7 separate regions of the Mus musculus genome follow, and all the other regions are reported to be linked to region 1. The links are microRNA targets in miRTarBase. Many come from high-throughput screens and were not tested one by one. Region 1 holds a microRNA gene; each other region holds the end of a gene's coding sequence.

Region 1 (4,501 bases):
TGCATCAGCAATGACCTCACGGTACCTGAAGAGGGATCAAGCAAACTGCATGTGTATTATTAACACCATTTGTAACCTGGCCTACTCTTTTCAATATCAACTTCAGCTTTGAAGGTTTCCAAAGAGGCCCCATTAACCTTGGGGGTGGGGGGGCAAGGCAGAAGGACAAATGCCTTGGGGTAGAGGTTGTCCATGCTTCTTGCTTTACTTACAGCGCATGTTAATTTGGTCCACCTTCCCATAATAGTGAATGCGCCTTGGGGGCTTCCTGTGAACAATATTTCCTTAAAGGCACAGTGCTAGTTACGGGGTCTTCTCTTCGCGTCCTTGCAAACTTCTCTTTGCTATATTCTCTGCATCTGCAGCAGGCAATGCATGGTGGTCTCTTTTCAACATTGCATCTAGGGTTTCCTGGAAGTGATAATCATGAGGAAAGAAGCCAGCTCCTGCACCACCCTCTCTCCATGGTACCTGAAAAGATGGTTGACCATAGAACATGCGCTACTTCTGTGTCGTATGTAGTATGGTCCACATCTTCTCGTTATCAAAGTCATTCGTGAGGGTTTTCCAGAGACCGAGCCAACTTCATGGGAGATATCCTGTCCTGGCTTCAGCACAGTACTTGGGGAGATGGTAGACTGTCGAGTGTGTGCGTTAATTCCAGCATGTACAGCATGGTCCACCACATCTCTGCATCAGCCGGTCACCAGGGGCTTTCTGAAAGCCATACCAATTGAGAGTAGGGCTCAGGCGGCAGACCCTATCCAACACAGATTACCCAGTGCTTGGCTACAGGCCATGTTCATTACCTACGACTCTGGCCATTTGATCCAAAGCCAATATTTGGCACCCAGCCCAGCCTTACAGGGCATCCTGGAAGTCATAGTGGCATTAAACATGAGTTTGTGGCCATTGCCACACATGCCGATTGCTGGTAGTTTGTGACACTCATTGAGAAGGCATTTTGGAGGTAACACCAAATTAAGTAAAGTGAGCTGGAATCAGCCAGCGTTACCTCAAGGTATTTGAAGATGCGGTTGACCATGGTGTGTACGCTTTATTTATGACGTAGGACACATGGTCTACTTCTTCTCAATATCACATCTCGCCTTGGAAGACTTCCAGGAGGTGACATCTGCTTTGAGGAAGAGCCAGTGTCCCGGTCTTCCTACTGCTGCTGCTTGGTACTTGGAGAGAGGTGGTCCGTGGCGCGTTCGCTTCATTTATGGCGCACATTACACGGTCGACCTCTTTGCGGTATCTAATCCCGCCTTGCGAGCTTTCCTGGAGCTAACACCAGCTGTGGGGTGGGGACACTAAATGTGTGTGCTAGCGCAACCCAGCCAGCGGGTTTGTCTTTTCTTGTGTCTGACAATAACTCTTGTGTGGCAGCCTTCTTCTCAGCAAATTTCTCTGGCTTGGCAGCTTCGTGGGCAGGGTGACTTGCAGACCAGGAAAGTGGCATCGACATGTGATACACGTGTGGGTGCGTGAGGTGGTTGACCAGAGAGCACACGCTATATTTGTGCCGTTTGTGACCTGGTCCACTAACCCTCAGTATCTAACCTTCCCTTGGAGAACTTCCTGGAAGAGATCTCAACTTTTGGGGACAGAGGCAATAAGCCAGCTGTACGCTGTTAGACTTGGAGACAGCATCCTCAGTACTTGCAACATATGTGCCTGTTATGGTAGTATTGGATGGGCTTCCAATGCTGTCCTATACTTGGATCCCTTCCTTGATATGGGGCCATCCAAGTTCAAGAAACGTACCATGTTGTCAGACATGACCAGGGTGTGTGTATGCCATTTATATATGGCACAGGTCGCAGGTCACCTTAGCACACTTGCATGCTAAATCTGTGGGAGGAATCATCTTTGGTTTGGGGGCATCTGTGCCTTTCTGTGGTTACCCAAAATGGTGGTAAGTCCTATAGCCAGTCTCTACTGCGCCACTGCTCTCTGGTTGTGACATAACTTCAGGATCATGCCATGGAGGTCTGCTGTACTGGGGCATGTGATGGGATGGCTGTCAGATATATATCAACTAATGGCTTGCTTGAGCACTTTGACTAACATCCAGTGTGCAACCCTGCATTCAACAGGCCTGCCAGGTCTGAAGGTCACGTTGGGGAATTACCGAGGTAGTCTTGTCAGTGTTCGCTTCTGGTACCGGAAGAGAGGTTTTCTGGGTCTCTGTTTCTTTGATGAGAATGAAACACACCCAGCTAACCTTTTTTTCAGTATCAAATCCCATCTTGGAGGCTTCGTGGTCCAGATCCCAGTCTCAGGGAAGGATGGTCCTGTCAGCATCCAGCCAGGGGACAGGAATAACTGGTTCTCCACAAAGCCAGCGAGTGGATTATCGTTCTGAATGGTGTCCTTTGTCCTCTAAACCCTCCCAGGCCTGCCAGGTCTGAAGGTCCAGTTTGGGAAGGTGTCATTGTTATTGTTAACTGAGGATGTGGAAGAGGGGTTTCTGTGTTTGAAACACATTTGGTCAACCTCTCTTCCCATCAGAACAAACTATGGAGGCCTTCTGGTCCATACCTCAGCCTCAGCTGAGGACACACTAATAGTTATGAACAAGTGAGTGACGGACAAAACCCATCCCATACATCAGATTTCTGTTGCCTGTGCTTCTAACCTTCAGTATCTTGTCCATTCTCAGGAGGACTTCTCAACCAATATGGTGTTCCAAAGTTGGGGAAGATGGCAGCCACCGAGGCAACTCTACCCCAGGTCATCACAGGTAGGTTGCACCCACTTTGCTTCTAACAGGTTAGACACAGCCACCCCCACACATGTCCAGCATGCTTTGGAGGCACGGTGATGGGCTTTTAATCAGCCAACCCCTGCTATAGGACTGTCTATTGTAGAGAACACCCACTGTGTCAGATGGTACCTAGATCCATGCTATTCACACACACCCACATCCTTGTAATAAGAGACTTGGAATCAGCAGTGTTCTAGCAGTAGGAAAGCAAACCTGAAATTGGCACACACATTTGCCCAGTGAGCTTTAAGATATGAAATCTGGAGCGGGGCAGTGGTGGCGCACGCCTTTAATCCCAGCACTTGGGAGGCAGAGGCAGGTGGATTTCTGAGTTCGAGGCCAGCTTGGTCTACAGAATGAGTTCCAGGACAGCCAGGGCTATACAGAGAAACCCTGTCTCGAAAAAAACCAAACCAACCAACCAACCAAACAAACAAACAAATAAACAAAAGATGTGAAATCTGTTCTTAGTCCTTAACTCCACCCAGGGTTGTGGTCAGCAGTAGAGCTTTCTGTGGGGTTCCAGGTAGAACACAATTCTCATCTGCAAATCATGAGCCCTTTTCATAGGCATTTCATATCAGATATCTACATTATGATTTATAACAGTAGCAAAATCACAGTTATGAAGTAACATTGAAAATAATTTTACAGTTGGGGATTACCCAACATGAGGAAGTATATTAAAGGGTCACAGCACTAGGAAGGTTGAGAACCACTCGACCAGGGGGTGGAACTGCCTGCCCCTGCCTGCTGCTTCTTTATACTACCACATGTGCTGGCACACATTTACCTTCCTACTAACTTTATAATGTGTCTGCTTTTAGAATCTTACCTTCCCTGGAAACTACCCAGACTCACAACCAGAGGGCTGGGTCGCTTCTCATCACCCACCTACCTCTTGGAACCAGAATCCGAGGCTCATTCCTGAACACCCCCAATGTACTGTACTTGTTGAAGTTGAGAGCTACTATTCCCCTGTTATCTCCTGAGGCACAATTTCTGGGGTCCCTGGTTCCCTTCAGTGACCCCCCCTAAACCTGGAGAGATAAGGAATGCAGGTGGTCTGTGTTGTTGGTAAATAGTCTCAGGCAATTCTGTGGACTGTCAAATTGCACAGGGGTTTTGGTTGCTCTCCAGGGCCCACAGAAGCAGACACTTCTGACAAGGCACCTGGCACTTTCCAGCTGCCTTTGTTTGCTTTCTGACCAGTGCTAATTGATACTTGAAGGAGAGGTTGTCCGTGTTGTCTTCTCTTTATTTATGATGAAACATACACGGGAAACCTCTTTTTTAGTATCAAATCCCACCCTGGGGGCACTCCCTGTCCCTGATGACGCCTTCAGGGAAGGGACCTGGACTGCTGTTCCCTGGACTCTGGGACATGGGACATGGGAGTATGGCATCAGGACTCAGCCCTGGAAGGAAAGTCATTTGAAGAAGGGACAGGGTCCCCGTGGTGGCCTGAGGCTACTCCCTATGGCTTTGGACTGTGAGGTGACTCTTGGTGTGTGATGGCTTTTCAGCAAGGTCCTCCTCACAGTAGCTATAAGGACGTGCCAGCATCGTGACTGAAGGGACAATGATGCCCACTGTTCTCGGGGTAGCTGTGTGGATGGTAGACCGGTGACGTACACTTCATTTATGCTGTAGGTCACCCGTTTTACTATCCACCAACACCCAGACCATCTGTGGGAAGACACCTTGGTGCACACGGCAGCTATGAAG
Region 2 (4,501 bases), not on the chromosome of region 1:
CAAGGGTGAGTGCCTGCTGCCCTGAGTTGAGAGGGAGTCCTTAACACAGCTCAAGGTCTAGCAGGTAGCACAGCCTCTGTCTTTCTCAGGTTTGGGCCGGCATGCAGAAGGCCGGGTGGAGCCCATCCATGCTGTAGTGTTGCCTAGAGGGAAATCACTGGACCAGTGTGCAGAGATACTGCAGAAGAAGACAAAGCGAGGCCAGGCTGGGTCCAACAGGCCTCCAAAATGCCGGAGGAGTGGTAGTAGACCTGAGGGCCGCCCACCCCCCCGGAATGTGTTTGACTTTTTGAATGAAAAACTGCAAAGCCAGGTTCCTGGGACCCCAGATGCTGGGGTGGATACCCCAGAGAGAAGGAACAAAGACATGTATCACGCCAGCAAGAGCGCCAAGCAGGCTTTGAGCCTGCAGCTCTTCCAGACTGAGGAGAAGATTGAGCGGACCCAACGGGACATCCGGGGCATCCAGGAGGCCCTAACCCGGAACACTGGCCGGTATGTGTGGGATCCAGCTGAGGCAGTATGGGCTCCAGTGGCTATGCCCAGAGGATACCTGCTAAAGGTTACCTGACCTGAGTAGCAGCTGAGTCTGAGGTGGTCTAGATATTAGAGGACAGGCATTGGCTATAGCAGCTGAGGGCTTGGAAGTGGGGAGCCAGGAGGCAATGCTGACCAGCAGGCTCTCCCTAGGCACAATATGACGACAGCCCATCTGCAGGAGAAGCTGGAGGGAGCCCAGCGGCAGCTGGGTCAGCTGCGTGCTCAGGAGGCTGACCTACAGAGGAAACAGCGGAAGGCAGACACTCACAGGAAGATGACAGAGTTCTAGCGGCCCTGCCTGTATTGTGGATAGAGCCCTGGGACCCAGCTCCAAACTGCCTTGGCAGAAAGACAGCTGTCACCCTGATGCCTAAACAGCACCTGGAAGAGGAACCAGCCCCTTCTTAGGATGCCCCTTAATTAGCCTTGTCAGCCTAGAGTGTGAACACTGCTGAGTAGAGGTGGGACATCAGGGCTGATTTTGAACACTTATCTGCCCACCAAGCCCACCTACCAGTGTCTTGGGGTGTCTCCTTAGGACATTAAAGTGATTTCATCACAATTCTCTCAGTGGAGACTCAGCTGGCTTCAGGATTTCTGGGGACACAGGGATCTGTGTAGGTCCTGGGAGTAGACAGGTGGGCAGTGGGAGTACCAAATGAGGCCACTGCCTCTGTCTAGGGTCCAAGAGTCCAAGAGAAAAACATTCTCCCTTTTCCCTTCTCTGACCAAGTGGGTAAGAACCTAAGGTGGCTCTTCAGTCCCAGTACTCACAAGCAGGTAGGGTGTGTGAGATGGAAACACCTTAGGAATACAGTCAGTGAGAAAAGCAGGCAGACCTGGCTTGGGTGGGTTTGGGGTTCATTTCTGGTTTTTGGCTGCCACGATAATCCATCCAGTTCACCTGCTTTGTTCACCTCATTAATGGGTATCTGCCTCATTGGGGTGGAGGGGACTGTGCTGGTCTTTGTGGTAATTGCCTAGTGATAGCATTAGCCATGATGAGGTGTGAGGAGAGCAGAGACTGTGGGAGCAACTGCGCAAGAGCTGTGTGGCTGCTGGGAGGTGCTCTGAGAAACACAGGAAGTGAGGTGAGGCGTCACCAGCAGCCCACAAAGATCTTCCTGGCTGTCCTAGACAGGGCCAAGCAGCAAATCCCCGGTGGCCTCGGTAAGTGCTCCCTCACCCTTTATCCTGGGCCAGCCCCCAAGCCTCTCCATGCTCTGGGGTCTGGGAGGGTTAGTCCCTGCCTGGTTAGGCCATTGATAACTTGGCTGTAGCCAGGTTAGTCAGCTTGGGCCCACTCAGTGAAAGAAGCCTACACTCCAAGCCTGAACAGACAGGCCCTCACCTCAGAAGGCTGTTGTTCACCCCAATTTTACTTACCTTTAACGTCTGGGTGAGACCCTAATCAGCTCTGCAAAGGGTAACTCCAGGGAAGCCCCAGAGCCCCGGGAAGTGTGGAGTAGGGTGGGAGTACGTGGCCCTCATAGCAGCTCCTCCTGTTCATTGACACACACCTCCCCCACCCACCCTTTCTGTAGTGAGTAGTCTAGGAAGATTGCCTGACACAGGGGTCACTCTGTGGGCATTGGTGGCCGGAGGTGAGACCTGTGGTCTGTGGCTCAGAGTCAGAGTGAAGTCAGAGATTCCCCAGGTGATGGGCTTGAGCTCCAGTTATACACCCTTGTTCAGTTGAGGTCATAGCTACCCTGGCCATGCTCCTCTATCTCCATCTCCATTCCTGATAACTAACAGGGATAGGCAGAGCACTTCTTACCAGGAACCCTAGCTAGAGAGGGAAAGGTGGGTCCCCCTAGAGCACGGCAAAAATGCAAGGCTTGGGGGTTTCCGGTGTGCTGAGTCAACCAGGGAGAAGGAACCCACTAGTGGGCAAGATCTGCAAGTAGGCTGCAGCTGTACACTGCTCTCGCAGCCAGCCCCCAGTGCTCATCTCTTCTGTCCCCAGGGCTCTCTTCCCTGTTTCACAGGATGAGGCCACCAGTGCCTTCAGCCCCACTAGCTCTCTGGGTCCTGGGCTGCTTCTCCCTGCTCCTTTGGCTATGGGCACTGTGCACAGCCTGCCACAGGTATGTGCCTGGGATTCTGTCTGCCCTCACCCTGCATGGTTCAGAGCCAGAAGTCACGATAGAGAAGTCCATATGACGGCTCTATATGTGCTTCCACACTGAGCCTGGGCCAGCATCTGACTACCTGTGCACCTTCCTCTGCCTACTAGACTAACAACACTCTTGCCCCCAGGAAGAGAGCTCAGAGGCAGCAAACTGGGCTGCAGGACAGTTTGGTACCAGTGGAAATGGTGAGTGCCAGACTGTCCCAGGGGCCAGGGTGAAGACAGCAGGGAATCAACCAGCCTTCCTTGCTCCCTAGCCACTGCTGAGACAGACCCACCTCTGCTCCCTCAGCAAGTCTGACACCAGACTGCATGAGCTGCACCGAGGCCCACGCTCCAGCATAGGTGAGTTCCTGGGAAACCATAAGTGTAGGGCTGGCTTCAGCCTCCCACCACTAGAGCTGGCCCCTCAGTGACTTCTGCCTTGACTTCATCCCTAGCCCCACGGCCTGCTAGCATGGATCTTCTGCATCCACGCTGGCTAGAGATGTCCAGGGGCAGCACCAGGTCTCAGGTACCCAACTCTGCCTTCCCACCACGGCAGCTGCCCAGGGCCCCTCCTGCTGCTCCTGCAACTGCACCTTCTACTAGCTCTGAGGCCACTTATTCCAATGTGGGGCTGGCTGCAATTCCCAGGGCCAGCCTGGCTGCTAGCCCTGTGGTGTGGGCTGGAACACAGCTGACCATTAGTTGTGCCAGGCTTGGTCCTGGGGCCGAATATGCCTGCATCCAGAAGCACAAAGGGACAGAGCAAGGCTGCCAAGAATTGCAGCAGAAGGCTAAGGTGATCCCAGCTACTCAGGTAACGTCTGCCTGGGTAGGGCAGGTTAGATGGAGCTGAGCCCGTCCTCGGCAGAGGACAATGCCAAGCCCTCCTTGGGTTTGTCTCTTCTCTCCAGATGGACGTCCTATACTCTAGGGTTTGCAAGCCTAAAAGAAGAGACCCAAGACCCGTCACAGACCAGCTGAACCTGCAGGATGGGAGAACAAGTCTGCCGCTTGGGAGTGATGTGGAGTACGAGGCCATCAATCTCAGGGGCCAGGATATGAAGCAAGGGCCCTTAGAAAATGTGTATGAAAGCATCAAGGAGATGGGCCTGTGAGCAGCTCAGGCCTTACATCCTGTCTTTAACATGAGTTAGGAAGAGTACCAAGGCTTCTGCTTCAGGATGGTTTGATTGCAGATCCTTCTGTGTCCTTCCACCTCCACAGCTGGCAGCACAGCTATCAGGGCCAGTCCTTGAGGCCTAATTAAACCTCTGTTCAATAAGGTTGGCTCTTGGTTGCTTTTTATCTATATCTATCTATCTATTTTGAAAGCTGGGAAGGTTAGAGTGGGAATTTTCTGAAAGGATTAGAGATGTCCTCTTCTAGTCTTTGATTCTGGTCCTTGACCCCTGCCCTGAGGCCGTGAGCTGGTTGTTAGACTCAGAGTTCTGACAGGATTCTGGGCAGGAGGGAGAAGACCAGATGTTTGCCATGGTGGCTTTCTAGGCCCGAGGGTCTGGAACGACATGGCCAGTTGGAAGAGTGGGGTCTGAGCCCTCAGATCCTCCTGAAACCTCTGTCCCCAGCCCTTGAAGTTACTTAAGTAGGTGGCTGTTGACAGTCTTGAGTTAAAGAATAACCTGTTTGCAGGAGGCCAGTCAAGGAGGTGGTAACTTTGCGGGCACCCCAATTCCCTGGAAAAACATGCCCTCTTGGGCTGTAGGGCTCGTGTGAGTCTTGGAGTTGTCTTCAGGAGTTGAGCCACACACACCCCAGCCCCCACTAGTCTGACCTGGAGCATCCTACAAGTGGGGGGACGCTGACAGTGAGGCATGGGCT
Region 3 (4,501 bases), not on the chromosome of region 1:
AGTCAAGTCAGAAGTACACCAGTGTGCGCTGTAATGTGTTGTTTTGAATTGTTTCCTTTCTTCATTCACTAATCTGCTGAAAGACATTTACTAACAGAAGAGTAATTGTCTATTTAATTTGCTTTCACAGCGGCTAGAAAAGGGTTTTGTATCTGGCTGTCTACCCCATTATAAACACCGAAGAATGGCATTGTATACAATAAGCATTAATCCACCTTCAATAAATAATAGCATCAATAAGGATAATACAAGTTATTACTTGTGTAAGTGGCTAGTCATTAACAAAATAATGTAATGTTAAAATTATAACTCTAGCTAAATGCCAATAATATACAATATTTGAGTCATATTTGCAGATACGAACCCAAGGAAATATTTCAGTGTATCAAGAATTAGAAAAAGTGGGATTCTGAATTTTGTGTTCTTAATTATAAGTCCATTCCAAAGTCATGAGGTAATTTTTTAAATTTGTTCCTCAGATACAGGGTTAATCTGGCTGGGATAGGAACAGAAAAATCAAAATCTCCCTATTTACATTAAAATTTTGTCATTTTTATAAGACTCTCATAAAATACTGGAAGGTCAAGAGAAATAGAAAAAATCCTTCTTACACTGTGTAAACCATTTTCCACTTGACGATATCTAGATGGCATTTGTATAGACACAGAAATTACAGTCTTACAGGTAGGGAAATACTCCTACTGATTGTTTGATTGACTATCAACCATATGAGGGGCTCTGTTAAAAATTCTGTGTATATTTTTTTCTGGAAAAAAAATGCATGACTAAGAGCTAGCAAGTTGTTAGTCTCCTCATCTTTTAAAGTATTTTAAATAATTTAATGCTCATACAAAAATAGTGCAATTTAATATTAAGAATATTAATATCTCTTTACAGTTGCCACATACAAATGGTAATACAAATTTATATTATCTCGTGGAATATATATTTATCAGTTAGTAGATATCAGATATAAATACATGTGTGATAAATTAATAGAGATCACATATAGGTATTTTAATTAATAAATGTAAACATATAGCTTTGACAACAAAGTCCTATAATCACATGAAGGGATATAAGCCATTACTTCTAAAGTGGGACGTTAATGAAAAGGGGTTTACATATGTCAGTTTTTCAATCCTGCTTCAAATCTTAAGCCTTTTGAATTAGTTGGCCAAGGCATCAAGGGAGCTTAAGGCAGCTTACATGATGCTTCAGTTTATTTAACATGAAATCAGTAGAAAGAGGCTTTGTCTGTGCCAGAATACAAGACATTGATTGTAAAAAGGCAGCACAGTTGATATAATTTTTCTTCTATAAATTTTAAAATTTCAGTCCAGTGATGGAGGTTAATGGAAGGCCTCGATGTCTTAACGTCACGAGGACTTGCATGTTATTTACTGGCTACTGTGACTTTTCTGAGAAATCTTCCTATAACTTACATATCATAGAGTAAGCCAGAATTAAAAATACTGTTGCGAAAATATTATACTACTGTCAATACATTACAGAAATTTAATTTTGTACATAACTAAAGATATACAGCGATACACAATGAAAACAAGATCATTTCTACTTGGAACAAGAAAGTAACCATATATAATTAAGGTGTGTTCAGGTAACCACCTCATATGGCAAAGATGAAAGTACTGTAATAAGAATTGGAGCACTGGGTTACTCTGTTAGCTCAGGGGCCAAGTGACTTTGTAAACAAGTAATGAAATAGCTCTCATTTTGTTTAATAAAAAAGGTATATAGAACAAAAGTAAATAATCAAAGACTTAAATTAAAAATGTTTGACAGATCATACCTTATTTGAAATACAAGCCAACAATTAATAATTAGTAGGAAAATACATGGCAAGGGAATATCTACTGAGAAATAAATATTCAGTTACCTAAAATATTGGTACACCTTGGAAGCTATAATATTTTTCACATCCTTTAAAGTTTTACTCATATTTTATTGCTTTTAATTTTGTGGATAACTGTAACTTGAAGAATATACTTACATGGTTTCATAAATAACTTTGTTTCTCTTGATAATAAGTTGAAAAATTAAGACTATTAATTTCAGCAATGAAAAAAAATCCATGGAGATATAAAATGTTACTGCACTGAAAAGAGAAGGATAGTCCTGAAGTCATAGTTTTCTTCAAGCATGTATGTACTTGCATGCACAGATCCACTTCAAAGATTCCTAAGGCATGGGGATTTTCAGACCTTGCTAATACGACTATGGTTGTAATTGGGATAAAAAATATCGGCAGAAACTCAACTGGGTAGGAGAAATAGGATAACACATTTTTTGCTCAAGAGTTTTTTGTTTACTCATTGTATTGTGGGTAAACTCCATCCTTGGAGAAATTATCAGTCACTGTACTTAATAGTTTTTCTACAAACATAAAGAAATCTTATTACATGCATTTTACCTAGAAAGTTTTATTCTGAGGCAAAAACACAAGCACGTTGTCTTTCCAAGTTCTGGAAATTAATAAAGTGATATTGGTTTACAATGAGTCTTTAAAGTTTTGATTCCTTTCATGTAAGAAATAATTTGCAATATAAATCTAGTGACTGTGATTACAGATTAGGCTCAGATCTAGTCTTGAAACCTTTTGGCCCAGATATCACAGTATTGGTAGTAGGAAAAGAATTTGAGTATTGCAAGATGAAATACCTGGTAGAATACTCAGACATTGCTGAAAGACATTGTTACATGAGTGGACAAGAGTACATTTTTTTTCATTAATTTCTCTCCCAACAAGTGTTCAGGATTGCAATGTGTTAAAAACACAGATTCCAATTACACTGAGTGATTCGTGTGTGTGATGAACACAGGACTTCTATGCACACACAAATAGAACCAGCCTTTTCCATATGCAGAGAGTATACTGAGGTGATAATCACAACATGACTGAATCACAGCTTAGAATAATTGATTGAAACACTTTGAGAAATGTTTTCATTTTACTTTTATTGAAGTGAGCAATAATCTTAAACTTTCTTAAAAGGCACCCAAGTATAATTATCTTGTGAACCAAAAATATACAAAACTGTACAGAATAAATAGTTCATAGAAATCTAGTGATACCTTCTTGTAAAATAAAGCTACACTGTCCCTCTCCTGAGGAAGCTCAGAACACTTACCTGTAGAAACGCCTCTTGCTACTAATCTACACGACCTATCAGTGTATGTCAATAAAAATAAAATAAGTTTTACTATTCATTTTATACCTTTGATTTACATGCCACAAAAGACATGTTTTCTTATCATTATCATCCAGTTGTACAAATAATTAACACTATGAAAAGAAGCAAACTTACTAAGTGCTCTAATCATATATACAGTAGAATCTCAGTAGCATTTAAAAAAAAATATCCCAAGAAGAATAGAATGTCGAACACAAATCACATACCTTAGGTTCACAGCAGCATTACATCAAAAGATATCCACAGAAAATGTGTAGATTAAACTCACACATTTGCTTATTTATCCCACAGGAACTATTTGCCATCGTGAGTCTGAATTCAGAAACCTTAGCAATGGCACCCTTTGTTGAAAATTCGGAATCGTTAATGGTGCACGTAATTACAAATTGTACATTTTCACTTACTATTGCCACTTTTTAAATTTAAGTTCCAGTTCCCCTTTCACTTTTTGTGAGAAAATTTAGTGTGATTGACAGTATAAATTTCTGACATATATGTGATTATGAATAAATTCCTTACATACTATGTATATATATACAGGTATATGCTTAACTGATGAAATTTAATTGTATTTAGTCATGAATAGAGTATCCAAGAAAACTGGAGCTTTTTATGTGTTCAACCCTTTAGGTGTGCAAGAGAAATTCTATGAAATACTTGTAAGCATATGGAGCAATACTACGTACTCCTTGCAACAGTTATATGCAAGGACTTGTTTTATTTGGAACAGGCTATATTGCCTGATGATAATGCCATGGCTTCCTCAATTGTCCCTGAGTTTCACTTTCTTCTTTCATCTCTCATAGGATTACGGCTGTGCTGAATTCTGATTGATAACACCCACGTAAGGCACTTATTTCAAAAGTGTGAACTTAAGTCAGAATCCCAGCATTTCTGCAAAAGCCCACAAGCAGCCCCTCTATGTTTGCTGCTCCAAGACTTCTAAGTAGTCGGGTTCAGCATGCAAGTTAGCTTTGAGCTCAAAGTATTCATTTTTAGTCTGTTCTACCAACACCTTCCTTGGTCGTGAGTACATCAACGTTTCCATTAATTTTAGCTCCTCGTGGGCTCCAGGATAGTTAACCTCCACCTCTGGCTGGAGCTGAGCAAGATTTTTTCTTAGGTACTCTGTGATGCCAAGTTGCTGAAGTTCCCTCTCTTTCTCCAAAATGTTCCTATATAATAAGCTTGCATCCTGAAAGGATATGAAATCTGTTGATTGGTCTGTAGTTTTGTATTTCATATTTGAACCTGTGAGTGGTGAATGATTTTCTCGTTCTAACAGG
Region 4 (4,501 bases), not on the chromosome of region 1:
CCATCTCTCTACCCCTCCCAGCAAGTTGGGAGAGTTGTTTTGTTTTGCAGGGGAAGGGTTTGAGATAAGCCCTGGCTGATCTGGAACTTAACTGTATAGATGAGGCTACTCTCAAATCTACAGAGATCTGCCTACCTCTACCCAACCACTCCCAAATGCTAGGATTAAAGATGGTCACCACCACACCCGGCCAAGTAGCCTTTCTTTTAATGCTGGGAAGTCAGTTTAAGCTACTTTTAACTGTATGCATAAACATACTACATGTCTCTCTTGTAATTCCCGTTTAACAGATCTTCAGGATTTATTCCACAAGACTGGTCAAGATGTGGATGGGATGCTGACCTACCAGGAACTCTGGAACTCCCTAGGTTCTGCCATGCCAAGACCAGAGAGCTTGAGAGCATTTGATTCGAATGGAGATGGAAGATACTCTTTCCTGGAACTAAGATTAGCTTTAGGTATCTAGTCTCATCAGGTATATTTGAAACGGATATGTAGCCTGGACTACCTAAAAATCTACTTAACTAAAAAGACAGAAAAAAACAAAAACAAAAACCTTCTTGACTAACTCTTCAGCCCTCCAGTCCTTTATACTACTATAACAAACACATTGTCACCTTTTAACTTGTTTGAAAACACTATTTAAAAAATTATTTTTTTAAAAAAATTTACTTAAAGTATGATGTTTAGAAATCTATGATTTCATGAAGCCAGTGAGATGTTGTAACTTAAAGTTGCCAGGAAAAAAAAATAAAGCCCTCTTCTCTCTTTCCTGTTTTTTGAGGGGAAGAGAATTTACCTTTTAAAGCTGGAAAGTGTATGTATATAGAGATAATAAGTCAGTTTATATTTCATATGAATTTGCCTTAAATTAGATGCACTTTATAGAGCCTCAGAATATGTCTTTTCTTTGAAAGATGAGTCTCTTCTGTTTGTAAATATATAAGATGAAAGATTGTGCATAATGTGTAGAAAGACGATTGGCTTTGAATGGAATGAATGAATGACTTGTTATGAGTAACTGACAGTCTGCTCTGGGTGGCAACTGAACCTCTTCACACCTCCTTAAGGCAGCCCTCAAATGCTTGGGCACCACCATAGGGTTTGAAGCTGGGGCATCAGTTCAGGTATGGATGCTGTGCAGAGGGTGCCAGTTCCAAACTCAGGAAAGTCAGATTCTGGGCCACTGCTCCTATTCCTAACCTAAGAACCAGAGAAGTCTTACTGGGATTTTCCTCATTTTTAATTATCTTTCAAGGATTATGAGCGTAAAAGTTACTCGGTGGGAAATTATATGTTTTCCCCTCAAGAAGTGGGTCTTCTCTGCCCACCCACTCTAGACTACCTTAAAGTTGTAACTGCCTACCTTCAGCACCATGTCCAGTCAGAAATGGGAAGGTTCATGTCCTTGGCTGCTATCCCAAACTAGTTGCCCAGAGCACTAGAGAAAAGCTCTGAGTACCCTTTGATTTTACCTTTAGGATAACCAAGAATTTGCTCTATTTCTTGGCAGGATGCCTAAAGCCAAAATGTGGTCTGATGAAACAGGAAATCATATTCTTTCTTCCTAATTGTTCACTCAAAAGGAGCTATGGGTTTTCTGTCCAGAGGATACCACATGGAGCAGGCGTGCTTGGAGCAGGAGCCTTCTGGTGATGGGGCTGTTTTCCCAGGTCTAAAGAGCATCTGTGATGCTTCCGCTTACATGCTTTGTGGGCAGGCCAGGACAGGTCTGATAGGAGCAGATCACCATTCGCTGACATGTTGAGACACTCCCAGTGCTCTTAGGCGTCTCTGGCAGCTCCAGCAGAAGACCTTACAGAACCGCAGGTTGCTGTAGCCGTCAGGGAAACACTGGAGAAGCTGTTGTGATGGCAGGGCTTCTTTACTAAAGATCATTGCTGTTTAATTTCGATCAAGTTGCCCTGTCAGCTATAGATACAGTCTAGTACCTTTAACCTTTAAAGACATTTGGTTTTCGCTTTGCTTTGCCTTGCTTTTTATATTTTGTTTCTTTTATATATGATATTCAGCTTAGTGTTGGCTTTTTTTTTCTCTAGACATTAAAACTCAGTGAAGGCAAGACAAGTTTTCCTGTGCATGAGTCTTCTTAGCTCATGTTTCTCTCTCTTTAAATTTTTTGCCTTAATGTTTGCCTTGCTCATCTATGCTGTCACCTTCTTGGAAAGGTTAAAAATACAGTTCAAACATTATCCTGGCTCTTTAGGTAACTCTTGTTCTCCTGGCTGCCTTCCATACTAAACACACACACACACACACACACACACACACACACATCCGTACAGATTTTGTAACAACCAAATAAAGTTCTAGCAATAAATTGAATTATTCTGCTATATTTGTATATATTGTACCATAAATAGTATGTCTGTACCTGGAAGGTTTTTCTTTTTTTCTTTCTTTCTTTCTTTCTTTTTTTTTTTTTTTTTGAGAACTGATTTATATGAAATATACTGAGGGTAATGTAGCTTGTCCTTTTTAGTTTCAAGTTCTCATTTGTAGGCAGATACTTTCAAGACACCTTAACTCTTTGTGGTATATGCTTTTCAGTGAGGAAGCAGGATTTGTTTCTTGGACTTTCTTCTGGTTTTTCCATGTCAAGAAGCTTGTCTGCCAGCATCACCCCTGAGCCATGTGATGTCTCTTATCAAACTGACCAGAGGTAGCCATAACTGCCCTCTGACATTCTATACGTTTCTCATCCTGACTATGGCATTACCAGATCTAGGCAGAGGTTGCTATCCTTTGCTAGAAATTGGACAGACTCACTGGCTTAGGAGCCCCAAAAACCTATCAATCGGTGAAGATTGGGTCTTCATTTGTTTATTGTCTTACCTTGTGCATCCAGTGCCTTGTGTTAGTCAAGCTTCACCAGCCACAGATCACCTCTAAGAGAACTCAATGGTAGTGGTGGTGAGTTTGGCTTTGGATTTCAATCCTTTGGCCTTATCAGTCAGTAGCTAAGAGTACTTCCCACCTTAGTTTCTTAAAGTGTTACCCTTGGTCCTTTGCTTTATGTACCATCTACCATAATATTTACTGAAAGACCATTCACAAGCCAGTCATGGTAGTACATACCTGTAATCCCAGCCCTTGGGAGACTGAGACAGGAAAGTAATGAGTTCTAGTCCAGTCTGGGCTCCATAGTGAGATCTTGTCTCAGAAAAGTACCTGGCTTAAATATGACTGTAGTAACATTCAAGGAGGAGCAGAGCAATGGATGCTTGGCTCTTAAGAATGGGTCTAATGCAGAAGAGCTGAGGCAGACAGTCTCACTTCACGACCAGCTTGTTTCCCTTCCATTGCAGTTTGCTCTTTACCATTGCTGGACAGCCCCATCAGCCCCCTCCCTGGTCCCAGCGTCACAGCTGAAGGTTTTGACTGTGATGGGCTCACACTTATAATGGCCTATTGAGTTGTTTTTAGTGACAGCTTTTGTTTGCTACACACCTCATTGGCTTGCTTACCAACCATCTAGATGTGGTCCCTTCTCTCATATTCAAGCCAGAACACATTTGGGTATTCCTGAGACTAGAGAGTGTGTATTGTTTGTTATATAAACCTAACCTACCTTGTTGTTTTCTCATATTAAGAACGGTAAATCTACTTTATATTAATGGAACTATTTTGGTAATACATAAGCAATTTTGGTTTTGTTTAGAGTGGATTCAAGGTTTCCATGACTTCATTTGAGCTTTACTTACTTCCTATCAATATAGCCATTTTAATTTATCTAAATAAAACATTACGTTTCTCTCACTGTGTCTGACTAGAATTTTCCCTGCTCCCCTGATAATTAAAGGGGGAAACCTGCTTTAATCTTTATTTTTGTGGACTGCTTGCTACTTCCTCTTGAAATCAAGGGCTATTAGTTGGAGGTACAAAACAATATCAAGAATCTGCTTTATTTTTGCCAAGTAGGCACCTAAGACTAACAACAACAGCAACAACAAAAAGCAAGAATTGTCTCTGCCACTGGTTGCCCACCAGACCTCTCTCTTAAGACCTTTGCTGAAGACACCTCATCCTCTGTTGACAGGACAGAAATCAAGCTGGAACTGGGCGGGAGTTTCCTTCCTGATGGATAGCCATCATAATGCATGAAGGTAGTCTGCAGGCTGCTGGGGTGGGTGGGGGGAGAGCCATCAACTGTCATCTGTGGATCCTGTGTGCAATACTGCTGACCAGACAGGCAAGGTGTACCCACTGGTACAGGAGTAGCAGCTCTTACAGGGATAACCAAGCAGTTTCTGTTTGGACTTGAAGCCCACTCCACAACAGGAAATGCATGACTCATTTCGTAATCCCAGTCAAAAGCCTGTGGCTAGGAAGGTCCTAGGCCATACCACAGAGACCCATAACCAGTCAAAGTGAGGGTTGAATGGCCATCCATAAATGAGGCATTTATATATCCCCTCCAGGTTCAGGGAGTATCATAGAAGAAAGGGCAGACAATATAGGAGCTGCAGGAAGTCGGGGA
Region 5 (4,501 bases), not on the chromosome of region 1:
ACGTGAAGTCCGTTAAGGGTAAACTCTACTTGGTTCACCTATTAATCTGATAGCATAATTAACTAGGAAGGAAATCCCCAACCGGCCTCCTTAGTGTCTTCTACTCCTTGACTATTCCCCAGGGTACAGCTAGCACACAATGCTGGGCCCACAGCAATCTAGGGCCTAATTGATTATCTGAAAGAAACAGATGTTTTCAAAAGTAAGTGAAACCATATTTTTAGCATGTATTTAGGAATCAGCCAGATGTCAAAGGAGGGCCTGATTTTACAGGTTTCCAACCGGACTGCATGACAACTTTCTTTCTTCAGTGCAGTGGAGAACAATGGATTCTTGTGCATCACATGCCAAATGTGACCCTTTGTGTAATAACACTCTATGCCTGTTGTGCGGTATTGTAATACGTTATTTCTAAATCATAGTCAGAATGCTGTTGAGTCTATCCTGTGAAGCCTGCTAGGGTAGTGCTCACTTAAAATGAAGACAATCATGAGACTGAATGATACATAAGCCCTCAGTCTCTTCAGAAAGCTTTAACTCACAGGAAAATGGGAAGAGTCTCTCACTAGCTAGCTGCTCAGGGAATAGCTATGTAGAGACCAAATGAAAATTGCCCCTTCATGTGCAATGTTCAGTTGTTTAAAGCCAATTTTGAGGTGTGTTAGTTGTATTATTTCCTCCATTAAAAGCAGAATGTATCATTCCAAGCTGGAAATTTTTATTGTACTCTATGATAAAAATCTTGTGTGTTTCTAGCCAAAGCCATCGAAGAGCTTCTAAATGGCATGTTTTATACTCTGGACACCTCCCCTCCCACACACACACACACCAAAAAGTTAATCTTACTGTGGGCTTTTTGGTGTAATTATCTTTGACAGTAGTAATGGAAAATTATTATTTCCATATTTGTCTGTAGGATTAGGATTTATGGATAGTTGAAGATTTTAGTATTTATACAACCTCAGGACCTGGGCCCCACTGCTATCTAGGGCCAGTGTGCCGAAGTCCTTGTATATCCATGTGTTCTGTGAATTCCAAGAGTCAGTCAGCCCTTACCAGACACAAACCCAACAAGACAGGCAAAAAATTGAGGAGGGGGCAATGACAAAGGGGAAGGACAGCTCTAATGGTGCATTACTTAAATGTTTTAAAATTTGAACTCAAACACTAAGATCTTTTGAGTGCTGGTAAGAAGAACAGACATACACAGCTCATCTTGAACAACTGAATGCCTGCTAATTCAATTGCCTAGACTTCCACTCATTAGCCAAGCAGTCTTCCAAATTAAGACATCCGGTCTCCTTCAATTTTCCACTTAAAGCCAGAACATGGGAGAATGGATTTGACCAATCAACTTAGGATAAAATCTCGCATGAAAAGTGACTTGTATTGTGTATGGGTTAGTAGTTGTATTATGAAAACCTACCTTTGCCACTTCAAGTTCTTTGCATTTATAATTTCTAGGGAATTATCTCAACAGTCTTGATCTACACTAGAGATGGGTTATATTTTTCAATGTGCATTTAGTGTCTCCTTAAATAGTGAGAATGTGCACATTTCCATTTGGGTGACCCTAAAGCAGTCTAATACTTCATAAGCTGAATAAAACTTGACATTAAAATGAAGACGTCATGCACTATACTAACTCCAAATCTGTTGTGCGACTATAATACAAAAAGCACACAAGGAATTCTCAGTTCATATAATTTATTGCAGTTAGCACACAGTTTAAAAATTCACCAACACACCAATAGTACAAAACTAAACAGCATTATAAGTTATTCCCCCTCAGGAAATAAAACATACTATGATTGTCAAAGCTAGATGTCAGTCTAAGATTTAGAACAAAGGAAGAATGTGAAACTAAGTAAAAGAAAGAGCAATCACTCACAATGACCATTAAAAAAGAAAATCCAAAAAAGTCCGTTCTTCCACAGACATTGATTGTCTCCTCTAGATTAATAAAGATTATTTTAACATAAACTGTATTAAAAAAAAAAAAACTAGAAACTCTTCAAGTAACTAAAGATAATGCTCCAAGGCCATTTTCACAGCTTTGTTTGTTTGTTTGTTTGTTTGCTTTAAATGCCATTACAGCCAAATTAACATACATTTGACCAAATATTTCCAAAACAGTCCAGCAACACACAATGGAGTTTTCCATTCAGTATCTTAAGCACAAAAATAGGCTATGTTTACAGTAGTTAAGGCGATCAAATTTTAAACAAAAGCAATTAAAAAAGAAAAAGGGAAAAACAACCACTGTTTCCCATGCTACTCCCATAGACCTTATTTGTAAGTGCAAGACAGGAAAACAAACAGTGTGCAAAACGCTTCTGCCCCGCGCTGGCCATCAGAACCACACATCGGGCTGCAGCCTCTGCTGCCGATACACAGTCTACTAACCCCCCTCCCCATGTCAATCAAGGCGGTTCAGTCCTTTCAGCCTGGGGCTTTTTCAGTCCATAGAATCTTTTCATGAGTTAGGGGGTAGGGGGAAGGAAAGGAAATAGGGGAGAAAAAGAAAGGGGAAGCAAAAAGGAGGGAGAGAGAGAATGACCTATGACCTATTGTCAATTTGTGCAGTAGTTATTCTAAAAACACTCGGCTGGGTACGTGTGTACACCTAAACTCTGAGCTGGCATGGGTTCTGTGCAATTACAAGTGTGGTATGAATGCACACTGCACATGCAATTCTTTAAGCCGTTTGTAAACATTTATATGTTCCTTGTAATGTAGCGAAGTTATCAATTTGCAGCTTAAGTTTTTATTCAGCTTAACAGTTTCAAACTTAAAGACGTGGGAAAAGTCAATTTAAATTATATAAAATAAAAATAAAAATAAAGACAGTGCATTTATGTTCTTCGTAACACCAGTTTTTTTCCCAAATGGTGCTATTTTTCTAAGGAAATTAAATAATTTTAAACTCACTCGTTAAAGTTATACAATGCAAACAAAGACAAAAAATATATTGAAACTCATGCATTTCTGTAGCGTTAATATTTACTTTTCAAGACTCAACTAAGAGCATCAACACAACCTGTCAAGTTCTTTGACACCCCCCCCAGCCCGTGTAATCAATTACAGTATACAAGAACAGTAATTCACATTTTAAACACACAGTTCAACACTGCTGAAGCTGCAATATCCTTTTTCATCTCAAGCAAACCTTCACAGAGACAGTCCCAGTGACCCAGTGTACTGTCAGATTTCTCTCACTGGGGACCATCAGAAAACCAGAAGTTGCCACACAAAGTTTTAAGTCAACTGCTTGTTTAAAAATAGATAATCCAGCATTTCAGAAATTTTCCATTTGGGTCTAAAAGCATTCAGGTTTCCAACAGCCAGAAAATATTCATGCAATTTGAGACATATAAAGAGGCTAATAAACTGGAGGGGATTTCTACTCTGAAAACAAAACAAAACAAAACAGTGTGGAGCACAGGGAAAGCGCTCAAGACAATGCAGTGTGTACAAAAGTAAGCCATGTGAAAGCGTTTGTGACAGAACCATTTGTTGAGAAGGTTTTATTGGCTAACTTGGCCTAACCCTCAAAAGAAAGACAGCTCTCTACTTGTGACTTGCTCTAGTTTCTTTTATCAGAATGCTAAATTAGTGAGATTCTCATGCTATTATTCTAAAGTGCAAAAACAAGTTAAGATCCCAACTTTTCAGTTCCAGGAAACAAGACTGCTTTTAGACCGTACCACAACTATATAGAGATCTATGTATATATATGTATATATATATATATATATTATTTATATATATATATATATAAAATTATTTCCAAAGTTCTTGAGAGCTATCTTCTAAGGTCCAGTCTCTGACAGTGGGCAAGCTCAGCGCTTCACTTTTGACCGACAAGGAGTTCACCAACTCACAGTGGAACTTGCGGATGTGTCTGTACAGGTCTCCGGACTGCGTGAACCTGCGCTCGCACCACTTGCAGGCATGGGGCTTCTCGCGGGTGTGCACCACGGCATGACGGCTCAGGTTGTGCGAGTACTGGAAACTCTTGCCGCATTGGGTGCACGTGTAGGGCTTCTCCCCCGAGTGAGTCCTCTCGTGGCGCTTGAGGGTGTACATGCAGGAGAAAGTCTTCCCACACAGGGAGCACGTGGGCACATTGACATCGGCGGCAGGCTTGCTACGGATGCCATCCTGCTCTCGGAAGTGCGTGCTCAGGTGGATCTGCAGGATGTGGGGGCTGGGGAAGACTTTGTTGCACAGGGGGCACATGAAGATCTGGCCTGCGGGGCTCAGGATATTGGAGACGTAGGGAAGCAGACTGTTCTCCATGCCCCCTTCCACCTGGACCCGCTCGCTCTCTGGGGTCATCATCTCATCATCGCTGGCTTTGTCCTCCCGATCCAGTTCCCTTAAGACCGAGTCCTCCCTCAGAGGAGCCAGGTGGGCTGGCTCATACTGTACCCTGTTGTTAGTGCTCACACTCTCTTTCACAGTGCTATGTTCCATGTCATAGTCATTAGTGCCAACA
Region 6 (4,501 bases), not on the chromosome of region 1:
CTCACTACCGGGCCTGCTTGTATGCTGGAGTCAAGATTACGGGGACAAATGCGGAGGTTATGCCTGCCCAGGTAAATGGTGCCCATCTTTTTCCTCCTCTCTGAAGACCTGGGTAGGTAGGCACATGGGGACTTCGGGCTAGCAGGGGTGGATCACAAAGTGGGGCAATCACAGAGGGTGGATCTTAAAGGTCAACTTTTTCTCTCTAGTGGGAATTCCAGATAGGACCCTGTGAGGGGATCCGAATGGGAGATCATCTTTGGATAGCCCGTTTTATCTTGCATCGGGTGTGCGAAGACTTTGGGGTGATAGCAACCTTTGACCCCAAGCCCATTCCAGGGAACTGGAATGGTGCAGGCTGCCATACCAACTTCAGCACCAAGGCCATGCGGGAGGAGAATGGTCTGAAGTAAGTACCTTCCTTTGGAGCCGTCTGTATTCTCATGGGGTAGAAGGGCTTTGGGTACTCACAAGGCTGTACGTACATGCCTAGCTCTGCATATTTGTTCTAAGCCTGTCAGTTTGTGCCTGTTGGAGAGGCGATAGGGTAAATACTTTAGGAATAGAATTGACAGAAAAGCATTCGAACTAAGTAAAAATACAAGCAAATGGGAAACTTAATTCTTACTGGTGGGAAGAGGCGAGTGATTGGGGGTCTTTCCATCCAGTGGATAATTTGCACTGCATGTTAAAGACTGGCCTGAGGGAGACAGTGCCTTCTTTCTTCTGGGATTCATGCCCGCTCCCATCCTTGTCGATGGACCCTCATCTTCACTGTTTCCACTAGGTGCATTGAGGAGGCCATTGACAAACTGAGCAAGAGGCACCAGTACCACATTCGCGCCTACGATCCCAAGGGGGGCCTGGACAACGCCCGGCGTCTGACTGGATTCCACGAAACCTCCAACATCAACGACTTTTCTGCCGGTGTTGCCAACCGCGGTGCCAGTATCCGCATTCCCCGGACTGTCGGCCAGGAGAAGAAGGGCTACTTTGAAGACCGTCGGCCTTCTGCCAATTGTGACCCCTATGCGGTGACAGAAGCCATCGTCCGCACGTGTCTCCTCAACGAAACAGGCGACGAACCCTTCCAATACAAGAACTAAGTGGACTAGACTTCCAGTGATCCCTCTCCCAGCTCTTCCCTTTCCCAGTTGTCCCCACTGTAACTCAAAAGGATGGAATACCAAGGTCTTTTTATTCCTCGTGCCCAGTTAATCTTGCTTTTGTTGGTCAGAATAGAGGGGTCAGGTTCTTAATCTCTACACACCAACCCTTTCTTTCCTATCTAGCTTTCTAGTAGGGAGCGGGAGGGGGGAGGGGAAGGGTAACCCACTGCTTCATCTCATCGGGTATGCATGTCCGGTAGGCATAGCTGTCACAAAGCGGGTGTACTTATGGTGAAAGAGGACATTTTTTTTTTCTTCAGGATAGTTGAAAGGGCAGGCCCAACGGCTGAGATTGACATTTCCACTGTTGGTAGAGAGCTGTTATTTCTAAAGGGGAAACCAGCTTTCTGTTCCAAATGGAAGTTAGGTGAGGAGTTGAAGGTTGGTTTCTTGCGCTGTGCTTCCTTGGCTTGGGGGAGGGGGCATCCGTCCCCCTCTGTGTGAACACAGCTCACCGCGTCACCTGATGGATGGCCCTACTGTGAAGGAAGAAAAAAGTTGGCATTTCTTGGTCCTCCGTTCATAACACAAAGCAGAGTAGTATTTTTATATTTAAATGTTAAAAACAAAAAAGTTATATATATATGGATGTGTGGATGTATGTCTTTCTAATTGAGAGAACCATCCTATTCACTGGGTGCCAAGTTTGAGTGATGAGGGGCTTGGCTTAGAAGTGAGGCTCCCTTGAGGTAGGGGTGAGGATGCAGTACCGGGAAAGTTGGTTATCTTGGGGTCTCAGCTTCATTACTGCTTAGGGTTTCCCTGCCCACTCTGCAGGAGCAGATGTTGGACAGGTAGCCAGTGGGATGCCACTGCTTGCCACCACCTGTCCCCAGGCTTAGGTTTAGGGGATGCGTATACTTACTCCACACACGAGTTAGAAGTATGAGTTGGCTGGTCAACTTGAACACTGTTACTGATGGGTGGGTGGGTGGGGGTTTACTGGGGTTATTTTTTTGGTGGGATTAGCATGTCACTAAAGCGGGCCTTTTGATATATTAAGTTTTTTAAAAGCAAAACAAGTTTAGATTTTAATCAGATTTGTAGGGTTTCTAACTTTACAGAATTGCCTGTTTGTTTCAATGTCTCCCTCCACTTGGCTCTTAGGGGAATTAAGGACAGGCCTAGAGTTAAAACACTTGTCTCCTAGTGTCACCTCTGCCAGCAGACTGTTACTTTCCTTCTGAAAAAGCCAATAGTCTTTTTTTTTTTCTTTTATAGTAAACACACCCCCACCTCCATCCCAGCCTGTTGCCCTTCAGTTTTCTGGTTGTTTGTGTCGGCAGCGGGCCAACTGTGGTTTCTCTCTTGCCATGATGACTTCTAATTGCCATGTATAGTATGTTCGGTTAGATAACTCACTGTAAACAGACTGTAACTGCCAGGCAGCGCTTATAAATCAACCTAACATTTATAAGATTTCCTCTGACTTGTTTCTTTGTGGTTCCCAAAAAAAAAAAAAAAACCTCAAAAATTAAGTGCTATTTCATTCCTTCTTTCTCTATCAAAAGAAAGGGAAGGGGGGTGGTTCTTGTTTACGGACAAAATGTGCTTATCTGTACTTATGCTTTTAAGATGAAGTCACGTTGACGAGATATTTTGAGACGGGGTCCTAGTGTCCGGCCTTTAACTTGAAAGTTCTTGCTCCAGAGTAGGCAATTCCCAGTTTCATGTTAGGTCTTACATTTTGAAAGCAGTGTTGTCTAACAGTTCAGACTCAAGGATCATGCTATCAAGTGACACAAAATAAGACACAGATACTTTAAGGTCTTGCGTTGGGCCTGGCCACTTTCACGGCTGCCCTCAGCTCTGGGTGACTAGGCTGCTAGAATTTCCTGGCAAATGGGAACCTCTGTTTCACTTCCGGTGCCAGGGCTTGGTTTATCGAACACTGACAGTCCTGGCTTATCAGGATATTTAATACAGCGTGGTACAGTGTATTAGCTGCCCCTGTTCTTGAGTTCTTCCTCGGTCCAGCTGCTGGGAGCTATCTACACAGTAGGTTTGCTCGCCTATTGAAGCCGCTGAAGGCCGTTACACTTGGGGCATTGGCTTGTCCTAGATTTTAATTAACCAAACACTAGGTTCCGTGGAGTTCTCTGTTTTATCCTGGTTTTCCCTGAGTTGTCCAGCCTAGGTTCTCAGGCTTCAGGACAACCAAGACATTTGTGGACCACTGAACCTGGGTTCCAAACCTCCATGTTTACACTTCATGCTCAGCTCCCTAGAATTTCCAGTTTGGGACTCATCCCGGGCTGGGCTTGAAGTCTTGATCTGGATCCTACATTGTGCCACCAAGCCTGGCTGAGTCCTTACTGTGTCCTGTTGCTGTTTAAGCATTTTCCTCACTAAGCTAAAAGAGGCGCTTCCTCTTTCACGGTGCTTCTGTGCATATGCCCAGATAGTAGAAAGTAGCTATCCAGAGCATATACTAGCTCCGCTGTTGCTGGTTTGTGATGGTATCTCTGCGTATCCCTGGCTGGCCTGAATCTTCAAGATCTGCCAGGTTCTGCCTCCCAAGTCCCCCACTGTTGCTGTTGTGGGCAACAGTAATTTAGTAGAGACTGTTGGAACAGATCTTAAAGTGACAGTTTTCTCCAAGCGAGCATTCTCTTATAAAGTAAATATAAACCTAGTAGCTTATAAACCTGCTAGTCTGGCGTGATTGCCCTCCTACTGTAGAGATGGCTCATCAGTTAAAAAGCACTTGCTGCTCTTTCGAGGACCCTAGCTCAAACAGCATGAAACAAACCACTTGTAACTCCAGTTCCAGGGGAGCTGGTGCCCATCTGGCTTTCTTGAGAGTTGGGCATGCAAACGACACCTATACATACATGCCAGCATTGCACTCAACATACACACACAGAGATTTTTTTTTAAGTGCCCTCTTCTACTCTCAGAATCTTCCTAGTCTTCATGTTAAAATAAATATTTGTCCACCTTTTCCCTCCCAGTGGCTGTTTCCCTGGGTCATCCACAGGACCTGAGTCCTTTTCATTGTTTTGTAGCCGATTGCAGCCAGTTCTCTTCTCAAGGTTACTTGAAAAGAAATCCTAACTTAATAGGATCAGGATTCCAGGTGGGAAGTATTTCCTTCTCCACCCTGGAACCTAGAATTACATCTGCTCTCCCGGTCAGAGTTCAATCCCCTTACATTTCTAAGGTTTTTGTTTTTTTTTTTAATTGCTCATTTAACAGACCCAGTTACTTGATAACTGTATCAGTGATAGATTAAACAGAATGAGGGGCTATATTAAACAATATTTGCCAAACTTTCAGCCTTAAAGAGACGGATGTGGGCTCTGGCTCAATGGAGTAACGCCCTGGGGTGT
Region 7 (4,501 bases), not on the chromosome of region 1:
GGATTTACTGAGTAGAAGGGACAAAAAGCAGAAGTTAGAATGCATGCTCTTCAGACTTCCAGCCAAGACCCATACACAGAAGCCACACTCAGTCTGACAGCTTCTAGCTACCAGGGCCTATAGAATCTTTGTTAGGGTTTGAGTCAATGAGCAGAGAATTGCCAACGATATGTCATGGTGATGGAACAGGGCTTGCCAAGTTTACGAATCTGAGACTTTTCTGTGGCCTATCTTGATGCTGGAGGTCACGATTAGCTCAGGAAGACTTTCTCAGAGGAGCTCAGGCTGAGGGTCTTCCTACCTGAGCTGACTCCTTCTGCCCTCACTAGAGCCATCCATGCGTGTGGAGCAGGACACCTTCCTACTTATATTCATTTCCCATAGTCATTACCTCCCAAACCAACTCAACTCTGGTTCCTCTTTCCCAGGGACCTGCTCAGAGACTTACAGGATCTTTAGTGGGTGATATGGGAGGTGCAAATAAGCAACTTGCCTTTTTCATACTTCTGTTGAAAGAACTATTTTTTGCCTCTTCTTAAACGTAATATAACCAGAAAACTATGCCCATGCTATGTGAGAAAATTTCAAATTTTCTCAGCTAACTTTTGAGGTAAAGGTGCACAACAAAAAAATAAAATATATTGTATTAGGAAAGAACATGGACTCATGTTTACAAAAAGGAAAATGGGGTAACTATCATCTCTTTTGGAAAACCAAAGTGCAGTATTCATGATAACAGTTAGGACCTATGACCACCAGCCCCAGATTATACATCTCACCTCATTTTCTTATCCACAACATCCATCAAACAAGCATACGGTGTCAGTCCACTTCCATGACTTTGATGTTGGTCATCACACATTAGAAAGGTCTGTCCAGATCAGTTTTAGGGATTGCTATGCAATCTGGCCAACTATTAGCTGACTCAGCATGAGATAATGAAGTTCACTGAAGTGTCTCCTGGCCCCTTTAACATAGCCCCTTCCATACCAAGATGAACAGACTAAAGAACAGAGCAGCGAGGAACTCCTGTGTCTGTCCGGACTGTAGCTGCCGAACAGTATTCTCTTCATGCAGGTTTGACCTGAAATTCTTTTTATTTTTTGAGACAAGGTTTTACATACTCCAGGCTAGCCTTGAATTTACTTTGAAGCCAGTGATGACCTTAAGCTTCTGCTACTTCTGCCTCCACTTCCTGGCTGGTGGGATTGCAGGCACATGCCACCACATTCTGTGGTTCTGGGTATCAAAACCAGAGCTAGATATTAGAGGCACCACCATATCCCCTGCCTCTGCCCCTAGTGGTTGGTCTATATTAGTTTAATTAAAATCAGGGGGCTGGTTTAGGACAAAAAATAGTCTAAGACAAGATATGATTATGTGGTTAAACACTCTGCTAAATACTTTTTGAAGGGCAAAGGAGGTAAAAATCTGGGAGAATGGAGGCTTACAGAGAAATCAAGAGACAAATGTAAGTCTCTGAAGCTTTGCTTTCTCATGGTAAGTGGAGGACTCTGGCTGTCCTCCAATGTGTTTTAGGCCCCTAATCTTTAACATAAGGTAATGGTATCTAGGCCTTCCAGTAGTTCTAATGAGTTGTAGGTGAGACAATAATTTTTAAAATGCTTTAAACACCACCTGACATACACAGTATACAGACAGGCCAGATGCTTTTAAAATACAGCAGAGTACACATTTCACCTCAATTTCCCTCTCATTTTACCTTCTCATGCTCACCCCAGAAAAGGCTTACTGATATTTTCTGAGAGATCCATTTTACTCAGAACTATCAGAAACAGAGCCCATTCATCGGTCTGGAACTTCAATCTGGTTCCTACTAAATAGTTAACTGAATGTTAAAGTGAATGGCATTAAAAAAAATAAAATAAAATAAAAAAGAGTGACCCAAAAGGTTATCAAATGAATACTTTATTAGAGTCATAACACTTATAAAATAAATTTATCAGATTTTAAGACCAGCCAACACTTTTTCATTTTTACAGCTAAGATACGTAGAGAGATTCTTAAACACCTTCGTCTTTGTTCAAGTGCTTCATCGCTCAGCTCACAACATCTAGAATGCAATGAATCTACAGACCTAAGTATTCACAGTTAGTCAGCTTTGAGTTTTCTTTTTGCTAACCTAGAAGCCATACATTTACAAAAGTACCACCAATACATCTGAATGAATTCATTTGAGTTAATACCACACTGAGCATGGCTTGGTACACCTGGGGGAAAACAAAAATCTCAACTAAATTCTAGTGGACTACATTTTAGTGATTCCACGTACAATGTATCTTTATGGCACATTTGTGACTTCATAGTATATAATTCATAATACAGGTTTTTCAGTGTGTGGTCTGGAGCTGGAAAAACAGGAGGGAAGTCTGGCATTTTAGAAGAGCTAAGACATGAGTGGAAAGCCATAAGACTGATTTCTTCAACCTACATATAGAAATACATCTCGTCTTCAGCTGTATTACAAACTGAGGTCCCCGTTGGTTCTTCTTCTGGGGGAGTATTAGATAAACAGCACTTGAACACTGGGCATTGATGCTATTCATTCATGTTTTTCACTATGTTCCAGGGAGTCCAATACTCCAACCATACATGGCACTCTTAGGTGATGGGTCAGCTCGAGAGCAATTCCCAAGCCTCCATTTCCAAAGGCAGCCCTACTAAAACAATAGGGAATTGGCCTGTATGAGAATGCGGTGGGAACTGTGGTCACTCATGATCTGTTGCCAAGCCTGCGACACATACAGGTGGACTAGGATTGTTTTCTGTTCTATTCAGCCAGATCCAGTTTTTGTTTTAGCTCTTGTGTTAAATGTCCTTTGCCTGTCTGACACCAATGTAAAAACAACATAGATATCTGGGCTATTATCAAAGCATGTAAGAATCTATAGCTTTATGTTATAGTTAATCTGTTACTCAAATTCAGCTCAGAAAGCAATGCAAAAACAATAAGAAGTTAAAAATTCAACTCTTCAGAGAGCTATTTGGAAAAGCTTTACATACATAAATATTTATATATTCATGCATAGGCCAAACAACCACAGTCTATGGCATAAATAAACCAAAAGAAAGACATCAGTAGCAAGATACTAGATCCAGTAGTGATTAATTGCCTCTGGGGATCATGTCTTAAGTACTCTCGTGTGAGTGCCTTGCTGAGCTATTAGGAAATCATTAGTTTGGAGTTTATTTCCTACCTTATTTTGCTCTTCATCCAAGGCTCTGCTGGGGTTAGCTTGAGAAATTATATGACCTTCCAAGGGTAATATTTGACTATTAAACAAAGGCAATGTGATTGATGCATAATGAAACAAAATATGTTATGTGGCTTGTCTAATGAGGTTTCATGATTAGTTCAATAGAACACAGAACACCTAAGGTTTTTATGGCAGTAGTTGATAAAATTATGGTCTGTAGACCACATCCAGTTTTGCTCCCTTTTTGAAATAAGCTTTATTAGGATACAGACATTTATTTACACATCATCTGTAGCTGCTTTTATGTTATCATAGGATGGAACAATTGCCACAGAGGCTATATGGCCTATTAAAGCCTACATATGTGCTACCTGGCCTTTTTGTAAAAAAAACATGTGTATCATTTCCTGTTTTATACTAAAGATAGAATTAGATGAGAAGCCTGCATGAGATGTATTGTTTTAGTTATTTACTATTATTAAGGTTCGGGTGACTCAACCAAAAAAAAAAAAAAGGAATACTATTGTTTTGTGAACAGTGCCTGTGTATTTTAAGAATATACAATGGAAATGCATTTAAAAAGAAACGAGAGATGAAAAAGGAAAGGATACTTCTCTAACATCAGAACAAAATGAAAATCCCACCCATGTAACAAACCACAGCTTGCACTGAGGTCCTCTCTGTACTAAGCTAACAATGTTTGGAATGTTATATTGGGACAAATGGTACCCAAGTGATCAGACATATAAAGTAGACAAATGAAACCAGCACACAACTGTCAGTTTCCAAGGAGTGTTACGGTCGCCATCTTCGCAAAGCCAGACCCAAACTGCAACCATAACAAGCTGTTGTCATGAAGGCAAAAACCTAAGAAAAGGAAAAAGAAACACTGTCATCAGATTCACAACATGGACTTTTAGAAGTTGCATCCTGAGAGACCACTGAACAAATCCTCGACAACTGACCTGTAGATACTTCAACAGGACAAGAGTTTAGAGTGATCTGTGTTTCGATGACTTTGCTTCGTTACCTCCCAGAGCTGGCCCTCCCTTTGTACACTATAGCTCTTAGCTTTCATATCTGCAGGCAGCCTTACTTTCACCATTCGCTCACATGTCAAGCTTACTTGTTAAGTATTTATGAAACCCTAGGCAGTGTATTAAAAAATTCACTCTGAGTTATCTCATCATCCAGTAGTTTCATAGCTAAGAAGACAGTAACTATCAGACCCCAAGGACACATCAAATCATTTCTGTCATCTTTAGAACTCAGTAGACAAAACC

What was found. Region 1 holds the annotated microRNA mmu-miR-758-3p (UUUGUGACCUGGUCCACUA, at 1,532-1,550, shown strand). A microRNA usually pairs through its seed, bases 2 to 8, with sites in the 3' UTR of a target mRNA and lowers its output. Matches are read on the target gene's strand: a 7mer-m8 pairs with bases 2 to 8, a 7mer-A1 pairs with bases 2 to 7 and ends in A, and an 8mer does both.
Region 2: the mRNA of Zgpat is a reported target of mmu-miR-758-3p. The part of its 3' UTR that is shown has no 7-base or 8-base seed match.
Region 3: the mRNA of Slitrk6 is a reported target of mmu-miR-758-3p. Seed matches in the 3' UTR shown: 7mer-A1 at 3,663-3,669.
Region 4: the mRNA of Efcab14 is a reported target of mmu-miR-758-3p. The part of its 3' UTR that is shown has no 7-base or 8-base seed match.
Region 5: miRTarBase lists Zbtb18 as a target of mmu-miR-758-3p. Seed matches in the 3' UTR shown: 7mer-m8 at 3,575-3,581 and 8mer at 3,498-3,505.
Region 6: miRTarBase lists Glul as a target of mmu-miR-758-3p. Seed matches in the 3' UTR shown: 8mer at 1,378-1,385.
Region 7: miRTarBase lists Mal2 as a target of mmu-miR-758-3p. Seed matches in the 3' UTR shown: 7mer-A1 at 3,746-3,752 and 8mer at 2,313-2,320.

Annotation. Positions count from the first base shown.
Region 1 is chr12:109,711,327-109,715,827 of GRCm38, forward strand. Mir758 (microRNA 758) reads left to right here and starts at 1,484; the gene lies at 1,484-1,564. It overlaps Mir380 (microRNA 380), which reads left to right and starts at 477; the gene lies at 477-537. Mir1197 (microRNA 1197) reads left to right here and starts at 991; the gene lies at 991-1,110. Mir323 (microRNA 323) reads left to right here and starts at 1,182; the gene lies at 1,182-1,267. It also overlaps Mir329, Mir494, Mir679 and Mir1193.
Region 2 is chr2:181,379,685-181,384,185 of GRCm38, forward strand. Zgpat (zinc finger, CCCH-type with G patch domain) reads left to right here. Exons shown (of 6, transcript NM_001048148.1): 4 at 1-5; 5 at 90-495; 6 at 691-1,109. The coding sequence ends at 829. It overlaps Lime1 (Lck interacting transmembrane adaptor 1), which reads left to right and starts at 1,551. Exons shown (of 5, transcript NM_023684.2): 1 at 1,551-2,630; 2 at 2,803-2,860; 3 at 2,932-3,019; 4 at 3,115-3,476; 5 at 3,574-3,944. The coding sequence starts at 2,533. The coding sequence ends at 3,777. It also overlaps a transcript of Zbtb46 not described here.
Region 3 is chr14:110,745,617-110,750,117 of GRCm38, forward strand. It overlaps Slitrk6 (SLIT and NTRK-like family, member 6), which reads right to left. Exons shown (of 2, transcript NM_175499.4): 2 at 2,962-4,501. The coding sequence ends at 4,135. Among named protein-coding and RNA genes, the nearest start is that of Slitrk6, 7.3 kb to the right of the region's middle.
Region 4 is chr4:115,773,548-115,778,048 of GRCm38, forward strand. It overlaps Efcab14 (EF-hand calcium binding domain 14), which reads left to right. Exons shown (of 11, transcript NM_001368627.1): 11 at 291-3,846. The coding sequence ends at 466. Among named protein-coding and RNA genes, the nearest start is that of Tex38, 5.2 kb to the right of the region's middle.
Region 5 is chr1:177,447,954-177,452,454 of GRCm38, reverse strand. Zbtb18 (zinc finger and BTB domain containing 18) reads right to left here. Exons shown (of 2, transcript NM_001355099.1): 2 at 1,691-4,501. The coding sequence ends at 3,784. Among named protein-coding and RNA genes, the nearest start is that of Gm29856, 5.9 kb to the left of the region's middle.
Region 6 is chr1:153,907,077-153,911,577 of GRCm38, forward strand. Glul (glutamate-ammonia ligase (glutamine synthetase)) reads left to right here. Exons shown (of 7, transcript NM_008131.4): 5 at 1-71; 6 at 210-409; 7 at 788-2,647. The coding sequence ends at 1,106. Among named protein-coding and RNA genes, the nearest start is that of Glul, 9.4 kb to the left of the region's middle.
Region 7 is chr15:54,600,255-54,604,755 of GRCm38, reverse strand. Mal2 (mal, T cell differentiation protein 2) reads right to left here. Exons shown (of 4, transcript NM_178920.4): 4 at 1,910-4,085. The coding sequence ends at 4,014. Among named protein-coding and RNA genes, the nearest start is that of Mal2, 31 kb to the right of the region's middle.